Arabidopsis thaliana: one gene and its partner. The protein of the gene in region 1 interacts with the protein of each later gene in a pairwise test. Each region holds a gene or a part of one and is shown in the gene's direction. Other genes may lie near its edges.

The links. Proteins that work in one complex are often made in the same cells at the same time.
Region 2: the proteins of PRA1.C (region 1) and AT1G47670 interact in a protein complementation assay, tested with the Arabidopsis thaliana proteins (one large-scale study listed by BioGRID).

The regions. Positions count from the first base shown.
Region 1 is NC_003075.7:14,531,490-14,537,695, reverse strand, and holds PRA1.C (prenylated RAB acceptor 1.C), read left to right. Parts: upstream 1-3,622; 5' UTR 3,623-3,676; coding exon 3,677-4,249; 3' UTR 4,250-4,759; downstream 4,760-6,206. Other genes in the region: ACHT2 (atypical CYS HIS rich thioredoxin 2), read left to right, coding at 588-839, 1,141-1,320, 1,435-1,713; EMB2752 (embryo defective 2752), read left to right, coding at 2,525-2,716, 3,082-3,201; AT4G29654 (Protein kinase superfamily protein), read left to right, coding at 5,242-5,270, 5,482-5,553, 5,645-5,784, 5,860-6,095.
Region 2 is NC_003070.9:17,534,653-17,542,804, reverse strand, and holds AT1G47670 (Transmembrane amino acid transporter family protein), read left to right. Parts: upstream 1-3,085; 5' UTR 3,086-3,318; coding exon 3,319-3,695; intron 3,696-4,390; coding exon 4,391-4,524; intron 4,525-4,654; coding exon 4,655-5,082; intron 5,083-5,164; coding exon 5,165-5,296; intron 5,297-5,482; coding exon 5,483-5,971; 3' UTR 5,972-6,180; downstream 6,181-8,152. Other genes in the region: AT1G47680 (uncharacterized protein), read right to left, coding at 1,716-2,030; AT1G47660 (uncharacterized protein), read left to right, coding at 7,254-7,624, 7,726-7,874; AT1G47657 (uncharacterized protein), read right to left, coding at 7,631-7,881, 8,049-8,065. UniProt on the Arabidopsis thaliana protein: Amino acid transporter.

The DNA.
Region 1 (6,206 bases):
TTTCTTTCATTACTTGCTTAGTTTATTGGAACAGAACAGATTCACTTAAATCCTTATAACAAGAACCTTCCTCTTTTAAAATCGTGATCGAAAGTAGAAAACTTATCAAACCTAAGTATATGCTAGACTTGATTGATCAAAAATACGAATCTAATTAAACCCAAATCGCCTTCAAATTTGATATTTTTCTTTAGATTTTTCTGTGTTTGTACATCAATTAAAGTTGGGATCCAAATAACAAATAAACATAGATGGCATTTAAGTAAATAAGTTTGTTATGTGTGTAAAGAAAAAAGCATTACTTATCTGCGTTCCGTGTTAAAACACGATTCTAACGGAGAAACAAAAACGCGTTTACGCTTTTTCAACTATCATATCGACAAAACGCCAAGTGGATGATGGCGGTTTAAACGCTATTTAATGTTGAAAAATCGCGTCTATGTATAATTGGAGAGACATGATGAGAGAAATATCACTGGAATCTGAACCAGACAGTTTCTGATCTTCTTCTCCTTAGAGGATCTCTCGGAGAAGATTCAAAACCAAGAACAATCTCAGTCTCTATCTCTCTCTCTGGGTGCATTTAGATGGCTGGAGTTGTGCGATTAACGACGACGTCGGTTCAAGCCATTCGTGTCTCCTCGTCCTTCAGCTCCTTTGCCACCGCTCTTAATCCTCTGCAACCTTGCTTACCTCCAAACTCGAATCTGAATTCCGACAAGAGATTGCGTCTTCTCTCATCTTCTCCTTCCTGCTCGTCTTCTCATTACCACCCATCTTCTGGTCTCGGAAGCCATCTCCCCCTTAGACGACCCAAGAGCCAAGTGGTTCGTGTCAAGGTACAAATGTCTTGCCTTTTAGCTGATTCTGTCCGTAAATCGTATACCCTTTTGGAAATTGAGACTCTTGAGCCCATTTCTGATCTCTTGTTATTCGATTTGGTCTTTCGCCTCTAGCTAGAGCCTAAACGTGAATTGTGACCTTAGCTCACTGTTATGTTCTCATTCCACTTCAGATGTTTAGAATTTAGTCTAAAGTTTCAGTTTTTTTGTTAGAGACGGTGATGCTATTGATTGCTTTGATTAGATGGTGATGCTTTCGGCCATAGTTTTATGTTTCTGATGTGGGTTTGTGGTGTAGGTAGATGAAAATGTAGCCGAGACAGAGCCACCGAAATGGTGGGAGAGGAATGCTCCAAACATGGTCGATATTCATTCTACTGAAGAGTTCTTGAGCGCTTTAAGCGGTGCGGGTGAAAGATTAGTTATTGTAGAGTTTTATGGAACTTGGTGTGCTTCTTGCAGAGCATTGTTCCCAAAGGTTAGTGTCATGTGACGTATCTATTCCATGAAACTATAAGAGTTTCATTTCTCTTTCGTGATTCTGTGAGAAATTTAGATGTTTTTTTTGTGTCTGTTTTGAAAATGTTTTCAGCTTTGCAAGACAGCGGTGGAACATCCCGATATAGTGTTCCTTAAAGTAAACTTTGATGAGAATAAACCGATGTGCAAGAGTTTGAACGTGAGAGTGCTTCCTTTTTTCCACTTTTACCGTGGAGCTGATGGTCAGCTTGAGTCATTCTCATGTTCTCTTGCTAAGGTAAAGAAGGCTATTTCGGTTTCACCTTTTCCGCAACTAGAGCTTGGCATAACGCTTCAAACAAAGAGAACTACTTCGTTGTTCTTTTTCGATAGGATCTATCAAATATTATAGACCCTTTGCTGATATTGATACCAAAACCGGTTGAATGCATTTGGTCTGTCTCTGATTACTATTTGACATCCTCTTCTTTTGAATATTTGTGTGTATTCAGTTTCAGAAGATAAAAGATGCAATCCAACTGCACAATACCGATCGTTGCAGCCTCGGTCCAGCCAAGGTACCTGAAGGCTTAACATTAGCCAAACCAGCTGCATCAAGTTGAAGTGCCAGATTTTTAGATATATTACTAAGGCAACAATCTTTGGTTGCTCAAGCAAATACTCAGCTTAAAATTCTGTATATCGTCATATTTTTGGGTGTAAAAGAATACTTCCTAAAGCCAGTTACGATTCTTCTGCTAATAGTCAATTGCAAATGTATTTTCACTACTGCTGTTCTTTATTGCTTTAAAGCAAGCTTATTGATGAAGTCATGTGAGGTTGCATAAGTCTCATTTCCATAGTTTTGGGGTAAATTTATAACTTTCTCAACTTACCGAACGATAGTGAAAAACAAATACATAGCACAATGGTTACAATAATCATGTGTTGTGATTACAATTTACAAATTTACAAGAATCATATCAAATAAGATTTTTTAAAAATTTACAAATGTGAGCTCAAGACTTTTAAGTGTTAAAGATAAGTTAAGGGCTGAAAACTAAAACATGTAGGAATAAGAGGACTGTTTGGTAAACGTTTTAACGTTTAAAGTCTTGCCTTTTGATATCAGATTTTTCTCAGGTTCCCACGCGCCGCCGCGAAACAGCTAGACGGAGAAATCCAAAATTCGGCGAAGGTTTGAGAAGAGAGAAATCTGAGAGATGCAAGGAGTGTGGAGCCAACTATGGAGGAAATATGCTGATTATAAGTACAATAAGTTCGAGAGATTTGCTGTTTGGGAAATGATCGAACCTTACCGTCGACCAAAAACCTTCACAACTTTGATTACTATCTATGTCGCCGCCTTTTACACCGGCGTCATCGGCGCTGCAGTTACAGAGCAGCTCTACAAGGTCAGCTTCGTATTGTTATCGATTCAGGCCCGGAATTGCTATTAGATTTGTGGGTTCTAATTTGATTCTCGTGATTGGTAAATGTTAGGGTTCGAAATGTGATAAAATTGGAAATGATTCATTGTTGATTACTAATAAAGGATTGTGTGATCATGAAAAGAACTATACTTGAATTGCTTTTCATGGGAATGGTTCATTAGGTCTTTCAATGAAGCTTTTACGTCTTGATTAGTATCTAATCTAATTCATTGTTCTGTAGTATATTGTATTCTTTGTCAATGTGTTTCTTACACTGTTTTGTGTTAGTATCAGTTATGTTTCTTGTTTGAGTGTGAACTTTATGTTACTCCACTCTCTGTAAACAGGAGAAGTTTTGGGAAGAGCACCCAGGGAAAACAGTGCCTCTGATGAAGCCAGTATTCTATCGAGGACCATGGAGAGTTTATCGTGGTGAGGCTATTGCTTCAGATGCTAGCAGCCAGTGAAGCTAACGATTAGGCTATCAGAGACTATGGTGAAGGATGTATCTCCGACTTTGATACGCAGATATAAATGGATTTATACTGGTTCACTAGTATATGTATATCAAAAAACTTCTTTTGGTTCAGTAGAATGTTTGTGTCTGTATTTCGAGTCTAATGACTCTCTTAAGAATCTATTTTCTAGAAATTACATGTAATGACAGTCTCGTTATAGTATAAGGATTTGATTTGAGAAGTTTAAGGGTATCCATTCATTCCTTTGAATATCTCTGCTTGTATCTGCCTCTCTTCTGGTGTCCTGAAATAAAACATTCCCAAATAAGATAGATGATCTAACTACCTCAGAAACATTGAGCCAACACAGATTTTTCTCTTCAAATTAGGTTGCTTCACATTCTTTAGTCCATATAGATTCCTCTGGGGACGTACTCTGTTTCTTTCCTTCCTTTTTTTTTTTGTTTGTTGCTTGTGAAAGAATATGACAACCTATGGCACTATACCATCCCAAGAAAATGCTTCGTCGAGCCTGAGCTTATTAGGACGAGCCAAAGAATTGATCTCGTTAGGTCTTAGCTCTCAAAGGCCATGGCTTGAACTTGTCCAATGTAGTGCCTTTAGCCTTCCTATCTCCTTTAGCGTTGCCACTGAACGAATCAAATCCAACATCATGATCTTTCGAACCAACTACATTGTTATCTTCATTGTTAGTATCTTCATCAGCATGCTTTGGCAACCCGTCCACCTTTCCGTCTTTGTTATCTTGATAGTAGCATGGCTATATGTCTACTCCCGTGATAATGAACCATGGGTGATATTTGGCAGTGTGATCGATGATTCTACTTTGGTGCTGGTTTTGTTGGTCCTCACGATCGGTATATTTCTACTAACAGATGTATCCCGCGGTATTGTGATCGGGGTTTTGGCTGGTTTGCCCGTTGTTCTGGTTCATGGCATGTGTAGGAGGAATACAGAGATGTTGTTCGTCTTGGAAGATGATGAAGAGAAAGTGGCAATGAACACATCATCTTCGTCACTTTCTTCTTCCTCTTAAGTCTTCACAATTGAGCACAAGATTTTCAGTTTTTCTTTCCTGAATTTGTCTACATAGTTCAAAACAACGCATATCCAGTGAAGGAACGTTAACATGCTGCAAAAAGAACTTGAGCTCTTTTGCGATCAAAATTCAGGATGTGGATATTGATGTACTGATGCATGTCAGAGACCTTGGTGACAAATAAAAGGCAATTTTGCGTGCTGATTAAAAACATTATCCTATGATAGAATTCCTATCTAATTATCTCCAACAAGCCAATACAATAACGAAGACAAGTGTGATCCTCTTCTCAGTTATCACTTATTACAAATTATCCAATCGATTCTCTCATTTTCAACAATTACGAATTGAAAGGTTGTAACTTTATATGAACAATGATCTAGTTTTTAATTTTATCACAACAATTATCAAGTTCAAATGCAATAGGGATTTGGCTATATATACCATTTTACTTTTTAGACACGACATGAAGAAGTAGTTAGACCATCTCCAACAAAGAGAACCCCAAAAAATTCTCAAATAAAAAAAATATTAATATTTTACTATAATTTGATTATACAATTAAATTTTTATTTTAGTAAAAAAATTAGATAATTGTAAAAGAGATAAGTGTTTAAAAGGAACTCTCTAAAATATCTGAGGTGGTTTAGACGTCTCGCTAATATCAACCGGCCTAGTCCCAGAGTGAATACAATATTTTTACATTTGGTAAATGTTAAGCAAAACCAACTAAGACTTATTCCTAATAAACATATTTAATTTATTTATTTCAAAGAGATAATTACATAGGTTTATATTGTCTATGAAGAATTATTTTGTTTATAATTTTTTTAATATGTTATAGTGTTCTAGAATTACCAAAATATAAAGTTTGTTAATCATGTTTAATTTAAAGCAAAAAAAGAAGATAAAACATAAGAAAAACAAAAGCAAACTACAAGCAAAATATATATAAATTTTCAAGATTTCTCCTTATTCCTCCAAACTCTATGCATTTTAAAATAGTTGGTTTGAGGATGTATTGTTTATTATTTCGTTATTATCATGCTTTATATATATTTTTGAACTTTTTGGATCAAAAATAACAAATCTAAGTATTTTGACAATAATTTTAAATACGATCATTTAATATCCTCAAATTTTACAAAAAAGCTGATCGAAAAAAGTAGTCCAATCGATATTACCGTTATTTTTCTCTTAAAAGTTTTTGTTTTTTTGTAGGGTTTCAGATTTTGGTTTGACCCGATCTACAGCAGAGGGCAACGAATCAATCATGACAAAGTCTATCCTCGGCACATATGGTTACATGGCACCTGAATACGCATGTATGCTTCTTCTCTAATCTGTTAATGTTTATTACATCGGATCACCAATGTTATTGTTATCTAACAGCTTAAACTTTGTAAGTGCATTGATTGGAAGGGTAACTACAAAAGCTGATGTCTACAGTTTTGGAGTTATTCTCATGGAGTTAGTCACAAGCAAGGAAGCTTTAGACAAGAAGCGATCAGATGCTGAACATCACATTCTCAGTTGGTTCAGGAGAGTCTGCATCGACAAAAACTCTTTTAGAGAAGCCATTGACGAAACAATTTAAGTGAATGAAGAGAACCGCAACATCATTGACGACGTAGCGAGACTAGCAATTCACTGCTGCGCCAAGGAGCTCACTCAGAGACCAGAGATGAAGTATGTTGTCTCTACACTTACCTCACTCTGTGACACTTGGAAGCCTAGTGAAATCGTAGACAACGACAGGGAGGACACAAGTGTATTAGAACTTGTAAAGAGATGGAAGGAGCAAGAGATGGAGGGAAGCAGCAGCGGTATCATTGTGGTTTGATGGAACTTCTATAGATATGTAGTGTGATGTAGAGTTTATGGTTCATTTGTATAGTAGAAGTGTAAGTTTTGAATATGATTAAGTTCAAAGTCTAACCTCTTCGTCATGATT
Region 2 (8,152 bases), on another chromosome or scaffold:
TTGTTGAAGTGAGAAATCAAAACCTAGTTAATCGATGAATACCTTTGCTATATTTTGTGATCAAATAATAAAAGAGGTAATAACTTCTTCTTTTTTGTCAATCATTATTAAATTATTGTTCAAACGGGCCATTTCTTAGAAGATATAATAACTTTATTAATTACTTTCTAATATTGTCATGTAAATTTAAGATAAAGGTTAACGGGCTTTTGGTGCGTAAAATCTTTTATTTTCAAATAACTTTATTAATTACTTTCTAATATTGTCATGTAAATTTAAGATAAAGGTTAACGGGCTTTTGGTGCGTAAAATCTTTTATTTTCAAACTTTATAATAGATATATTTAAAATCGAACCGTGAACATGATATTATTGTAGTGAATAGAAAATTTAGGAAAACATAAAATTTTGTCTTATTTCACTTAAAATAAATAATTGCATACAGAAAAATATATTTTAAGGATTGTTTTGATAATGTTTTGCAATTCAAGTGTAAGAACTGGTGGAGCATGAATCCAATAGATTCCAATGGAGTTATGTATAAATCACAATGAGATTAACTATATGAAATCATAGTTAGGGAAATTAAAGATTAAGGTTTATAAATGTATTTTGGACAAAAAGAGGAATAAAATACAAGTAATTAATATCTTTGCCTAGATAACCTCAATACAATTTGAACTTCAAATGAACTTGGATGGTAAGATATATTATAGAAAAAGTTTGGAGTAGAAAATTTTGAATTATAATTCCTAATATTTCAATAATATTTTTTTGCCTATCATTGTTTCAGTAATATCTACAATATATTCTAAAGATAATTTTTGGAAAAAATCTTCATTGATATTATATATAAATCACATCCCATATTTGAATGAACAAATATTTTTCTACCTATGAAAAATTCAAAATTTTGACTAATAATATGCATAACACTACTTTATATACATTTAAAGTCTCATGTTTTTCTAAAATAATATACTATTTATAGTAATTGGAATAAATTCATTTGACCCTCGAGGAGATATATTTTAATATAAATTATAAATATTATTATTTTGGTACTACAACAAGGATTAAAACCTTATTATGATATTTTGACATGTCGAAACATGTTGATTTAGTTAAAATTGTGTGGAAAAATTTTTGTTTATGATATATCGTGGGCTAATTAAATTTCGGTGTGTTGCAATGTATCATACTCATTTCAGCTTTCTTAGCTAAATATTACTTGTACTTCAATGACTAGTACAAAACACCCAAATACCATGACCTTGCTTGTTTTGATATTCTCTAATAAAACCCAACTTGGTTTAAACATCTCTAAAATCTGACTTAGTTCCAAGATTGACCAATCATCTACCTTCTTGAGATGCAGCCTCGTGATTATACTTCTTGACTCTTCATCTAGTTTCTTTAGATGTAGTCCCATGATCTTTCAATGACGTACGACTTCTCTCCACATATCATTTAGAATCTTCATTAGATACCTGGAGACTCCTCCTCTATGCAACATCGATTGAACTCCCTTGAAGTAAAGTCTCCTCCTTTATCGGTACAAAAGGTTTTAATAGACAAGCCGACTTGCTTCTCTAAAACTCTTGAAAAGCTTTTGAACCGATCAAAACTTGAATGAATATGTCAACAAGGAACCATCTTGTTCTTGTTGACTGATTCAAACTCCTCTTCACATCTTTCCTCCATTAAAGCACATCTTTAGCCTCTTGGCTCATTACTTGTTGAAAGTTGACGTCTCTTACTTTTAACATAAGCTTGGTGGAACAATCCATAAGTTGTTTCGGACTGCATAACATAGTCTTCAAGGTACCGCGACTGACTTATTTGTCGACCCGACCTTCTCAGTTGTGGTACTCCTTGAACTACTTCACCAACCTCATTATGGTATTTTTTAGTGATATCCTCCATGCCATCATCTTCTTCATGTACTTCTCCAACATCTTCTCTGTGAATCAACTCCAATATGATATAACCGAGCATGTCATGTCCTTGTAGCTTCAGTAGAAAGTCCATCGACAAGTGATGTTGGATAATTCCTAACTTGAAGAGCAAGATATCTCCTTTTAGTAGATGGTAGAAGAGATACAAGAAAATAAAATACAAATAACGTCAAGTTGGACATAATTTGTAACTCTTCCTTTTCAAATCATGACTAAACTCTAAATTTAGATGTAATTTAGCTTAGTGGTAGGTCAGAGCAAATGGATTTGGTTTATACGTTTGCAATTATGTAATTCCATGGATGTAGTTTGAAAGACCAAACTTCATTACAATTATGTGTATCAATTTATTTTGCTTACTCGTATCTATTTTATCACTAGAATACAAAGATTTTGCTAACTCCAAATCTATTATTTTCAGACAAGCATATCCTGTAAATCTTCAATCATCCAAAAAGTGATGTTGAGTTTAGATCCAACTCCAAAATGTATTTATCTTATTTTTAAGTAAAAAACTGAAGAAATGAGTTTGCGAATCTTTTAAATAGTTATTTTGTATAATGCATATTAGAGAAAGAACAAAGATAAATTTTTGTATCAAATATTTAAACTGAGTTAATGGTGGTTTATGAAGGGTGTTATAGTGCATTCACTCCCTTATATAATCGATATCTCTAATCCCTTGGTAAAATTAAATTGTTGTATTGAATTTTTTTATGAAAGAGTAAGGTGAGTTGCAAATTTTGCTTGGCCTCAAAAATTCTTCTCTCTATTTTTTCATTTACATGTTTGAAGTGTTACTTTTTACTTTGCTAAGATATTTCAGTGTTACTTTTTAATCTACATATTTCATTGTTATTTTTTAATTTACATATATCAATGTTATTTTTCCACTCAGATAAGGTGAAATATTTCAGCTAACTTAAAGTGATTATGATCATCAACACCTATTTCATGTCAATTTTTTGCTAAAAAATAAACAAATTGGTCATAATGTTCAAAAACTTGACCTCACCATCATAATACTTAGTACTTACTGGTCAAACAAACATATGTTCAGAACTTTTGTATTGATGGGGAAGGTTACTTTTGTCGTAATGTTACAAAAAAAAAATTGTTACTGTTGAGACCATTATAAATAATCATGTCATGTTCTTTAATTATCAACTTTGATTGTCATTTAATTGTAAATTTCGTTAGTTAATCTGTCCTCTTCTTGTAATTAAATAAAAATTTGTTTCAATACCAATAAAGTTGTCCTAAAAAAAACCACCCCTCTAAATAGGGAGTGAGTGAGAGAGAGAGTGATAGTGAGAACAAAAAAAAAACATCATTTCTTCTCGCACTCTTCACCTGCTCCAATGGACGAAAGACCCGAGACAGAGCTAATATCAATACCAGCCACACCACGAGTTTCAACACCGGAGATTCTAACTCCCTCCGGTCAAAGATCACCTCGTCCGGCCACCAAACCATCGTCGGCGACATGGACTCCGACTTCGTTCATATCACCGAGGTTCTTGAGTCCGATTGGTACACCAATGAAACGAGTTCTTGTGAACATGAAAGGGTATCTTGAAGAAGTTGGTCATCTCACTAAGCTAAACCCACAAGATGCTTGGCTTCCAATCACTGAATCTCGTAATGGAAACGCTCATTACGCTGCTTTTCACAATCTCAACGCTGGTGTTGGTTTTCAAGCCCTTGTTCTTCCCGTCGCGTTTGCGTTTCTTGGCTGGTGCGTTTGCGTTTTTCTTGATTTTTCCAATAATCTTTTTTCTTGTTTTTGAGTTTTTTCTTGAACTTTGTGTTTAGTGTTTCAAGATTATTTTTGTTTAGTGAACGGCGAGGGTTTATTCGACTCTCTGTGGTGCTCAGATCCAGTTTCAGGGTTCACTTTACTTGTTTGGGCAAAAATCAAAAATGTTTTTCTTGTCGGAAATAATAATAGGATATTGACTAATTTACTTTTTAACTTTGAAAACATTTCAATTTTAGCAGTAGATATTTTCTTTTTAATTTGTCATGCTTCCATCATTACACATGTGGATACTCACAGACATACTTTTTTGCTTTAATTTGGATTAAGACAGAGCCTTCTTTATCGTCTACTTTGTTTCTTGTTAATTTCCGGCAAAAAACACTTTTCTGAAAAGTATTTATTGTGTATATATAAGTAGGGCATGTAGTTGACGTCATAATAGATGACTATTTCTTCTTATAAACTTATATTTAGATAAATATTTTTTATTGCAAGTTCTAATATTTGAAACTATACATAACTTGTTAAGGTGGAGCATTTGGCTAGTTCAATACTTAAATAGCTTAGTGATGAATAATGATATTGCAATGATCATGTATTTGAGATTCTTATGTAAGAAAATGCACATATATTATTTCCAAACTTCAAGAAGTGAATTATTGTTGTTACAGGAGTTGGGGAATACTGTCTTTAACAATAGCATATTGCTGGCAACTCTACACACTGTGGATTCTGGTTCAGTTGCACGAAGCTGTCCCCGGGAAACGCTACAATCGATATGTCGAGCTTGCACAAGCTGCTTTTGGTAAAATGATAAATTTAGTTTTACATTAAGAATGATGAAATAATGCATCAATAGTGACAATTATTATTGATACTAATTTTGTGTCTTGCTAAGTTGCTATTACTAAATCTTGTACTCTTGATTGGAACAGGAGAAAGGTTAGGAGTATGGCTTGCATTGTTTCCTACGGTTTACTTATCAGCAGGAACCGCGACAGCGCTGATTCTGATCGGTGGAGAGACAATGAAACTCTTCTTCCAGATAGTTTGCGGTCCATTATGCACCTCGAATCCGTTAACAACAGTTGAATGGTATTTGGTGTTTACATCTCTCTGCATCGTTCTGTCTCAGCTACCAAACCTCAATTCTATTGCGGGACTCTCCTTAATAGGAGCAGTGACTGCAATAACTTACTCCACAATGGTTTGGGTTCTCTCTGTGAGCCAACCAAGACCAGCCACTATCTCATACGAGCCTCTTTCTATGCCTTCGACTTCTGGTTCACTCTTCGCTGTTTTGAATGCTCTTGGCATTATAGCTTTTGCCTTCAGAGGTCACAACTTGGTTTTGGAAATTCAGGTAAAATATGCAAAATATTTCTGTCTATAGATAATGCACATATTGGACTTATGATTTATTCTGAGTATTGAAAACTTTGTAGTCGACGATGCCATCAACGTTTAAGCATCCTGCTCACGTACCAATGTGGAGAGGAGCCAAAATCTCTTACTTCCTCATTGCTCTGTGTATCTTTCCAATCTCCATCGGAGGCTTTTGGGCTTATGGGAACCTTGTAAGTTCCATTTACTATATCTTTTGTTTATGTCTTGTCAGTGAAGGATGTTTATCTGGTGTTTGGTTCATGTTAGTGAAATATAGAATTCAAAAGGAACACTAATATCATTTATTTATAGTTCGTTTTCTGATCTTTGGTTCAATTTCCGGATTAGTTTGAAGTTATTTTTTCTTGGTCTTATAGATGCCTTCAGGAGGTATGCTTGCTGCTTTGTATGCATTCCACATTCACGATATCCCGAGAGGCTTATTAGCGACGGCATTTCTCCTAGTAGTCTTCAGCTGCTTGAGCAGTTTTCAGATATACTCCATGCCTGCCTTTGACAGCTTTGAAGCTGGCTACACAAGCAGAACCAACAAGCCGTGTTCGATTTGGGTCAGATCAGGTTTCCGAGTCTTTTTTGGTTTTGTCTCGTTTTTCATCGGTGTTGCTCTCCCTTTTCTGTCTAGTCTTGCGGGGTTGCTCGGTGGACTCACTCTCCCGGTCACATTTGCTTATCCTTGCTTCATGTGGGTCTTGATTAAGAAACCGGCGAAATACAGTTTCAATTGGTATTTCCATTGGGGATTAGGTTGGTTGGGAGTTGCATTCAGCTTGGCATTCTCCATAGGTGGGATCTGGAGTATGGTTACCAATGGACTTAAGCTCAAGTTCTTCAAGCCGCCTAACTAAGTAGTAATAGCCTATGTGGTTTTGTTTGGTTGGGAAGTTTGAAGTTTTAAGAGATTTTGTATTTCTGTGTTTTGTTTAAGAGTGCCTATGTTTTGAAGTTGGAACAATGTAATGTGTATTATAATTCAGTAAGCTTTTCAATATAAAGAATTTGGAATTTTGAAGAATCACACTTGTGTGCCTCTGTTGAATCCCTAGCTGGAATTTTCCCAACGTGGTTTTCTCTTTTCCATCTTTTTTTCAAATTATTTTGATACTACTAAAAATAACGATACATGAGTATTAAACTAAATTAAGCTAGATCAAGAATTCGGATTCAAAGTAATCGTTTTAGTGTATGAAAGATGATATTCTCGGATGATCTTTTGTTCTGCACAACTTTTTGGATCCTGCGGGAAGAGGGAAAGTATATAGAATTACATGATATCATATGTTGATATCAAGCGACTTGACATAAGAATTGGTGAAGCTCATGTTTGATGAAAATTGATGTACAAGTATACCCCTGTCGACGGACGACTGCACTACGATTTGTATAAGAGCAGATACGGGGCATGTTTTTAGAGTGTCTTTTTGTACATGAGAATTTAGATGTGTGCATGGTTTCATGTCTATTACGCATTTAATACCCTCAATGTACATCGAGTCGATTTCTCTGTCATGTTCTAGGTGAAGTGTCGGACCGCCAATGAGATTGTGGGATACGGGCTTTGCCCTCCATGCCCAATTCGGCCCAAACACAAATAGAACAAGTCAAGAAAGCTACTAACAAGGAAGAACGGCCCATCAGAACAACGGCCCATCAGAATGACTGCTCGGCCCATCACAGCTCGGCCCATCACGGTTTGGCCCAGCCCGATAAATTCAGAAGGGCAAAACGGAGAAATCGCTAGAGAGACTAAGAGAACCCTAGATCAGCTTCTTGCCTATAAATAAGAGGAGACACTACTAAGAAGAGGGATCCAGAACCTAAGTCACCACTCAGAGGATTTAAGAGAGAATTGCTGCCTACCTCTTTATCTCTTATTTTCTGGTTTTCCGTTCTGTATTTTCTGGTTTTCCGACCATTAATATCGATTTTCCGACCTGTACTTTCGGTTCTCCGTTCTGTACTTACGGTTTTCCGTTCTGTTAATTATTGTCTTTTCGTTCGTCATTAATAAAGAAGCTACTCCGTTCTCCCCAAACCCCTTAATAATTATTGTTACAACCTCGGTACAAACAATTGGCGCCCACCGTGGGGCTAGGCAGAGTTTTCTTCTGATATTGACGAGCAGCTACGATGTTGCCAGTAATCCCGGAGAGCCACGACGAGATGACGGAAACCTCGAACGAACAAGGAGTCAGAACCATCGCGCCTCGTGCCGCACCACCAGCTCGGCCAACGACGCCACCACCAGCTCGGCCAACGACGCCACCACCAGTTTGGCCAACGACGCCACCTCCAGCCGGAGCTCCTGTCGCAGTTCCAGCCGCAGCTCATGTCGCAGTTCCAGCCGCAGCTCCTGTCGCAGCTCCTGCCGAACTCGGAGAAACAACTTCACGAAGAACCAATCTTGACGAAGTCATCCGATCTTTCCTCGACCGACTCGACTTACAGAACACAAGAACTACCGAACGCATCAACGTGATTGTCGCTGCCCAGAAGGCATCGTAGAATCAGATCGAGCAACTCCAGTCCTCCGCAGCTCGCGCCGGTCGACAGCTCAGCGATGACAAAACAGTCCCGCCCCAGTAACTCTTTTCATGGAAAGACCGGTGAACCGACGCAATAGGCCTGCTTCTATCGTTGTTGGGTCCATCGACGAGCACACCCGTGAAAATGCGCTGAACCGTGACAACCGGCCGAACATCGACACTCGAACATACCGAATAGAAGACCACTATATCGGTGCGAGCGATCGTGAGCTCTAAAAATTACAAACTACTATGAAGGATATAACTCTGCTCAGCACCAAAGTTAGACCTTTCTTCAACTGAATCAACCAACATGATGCAAAGACGGCCGAGCACCTCAACATAACCGTTGAAAGAGTAGGGAATCAAGCATACCCCTCAAGCCGACCCGGTTACTCACCTGCACCTGCTATCTTCCTTCAAAGGCTGCCAAGACTGACTATTCCAATCTCAATAAAACTGCAACCAAGAGGACTTAACTTGACAAACTCGTCTTAACCGACC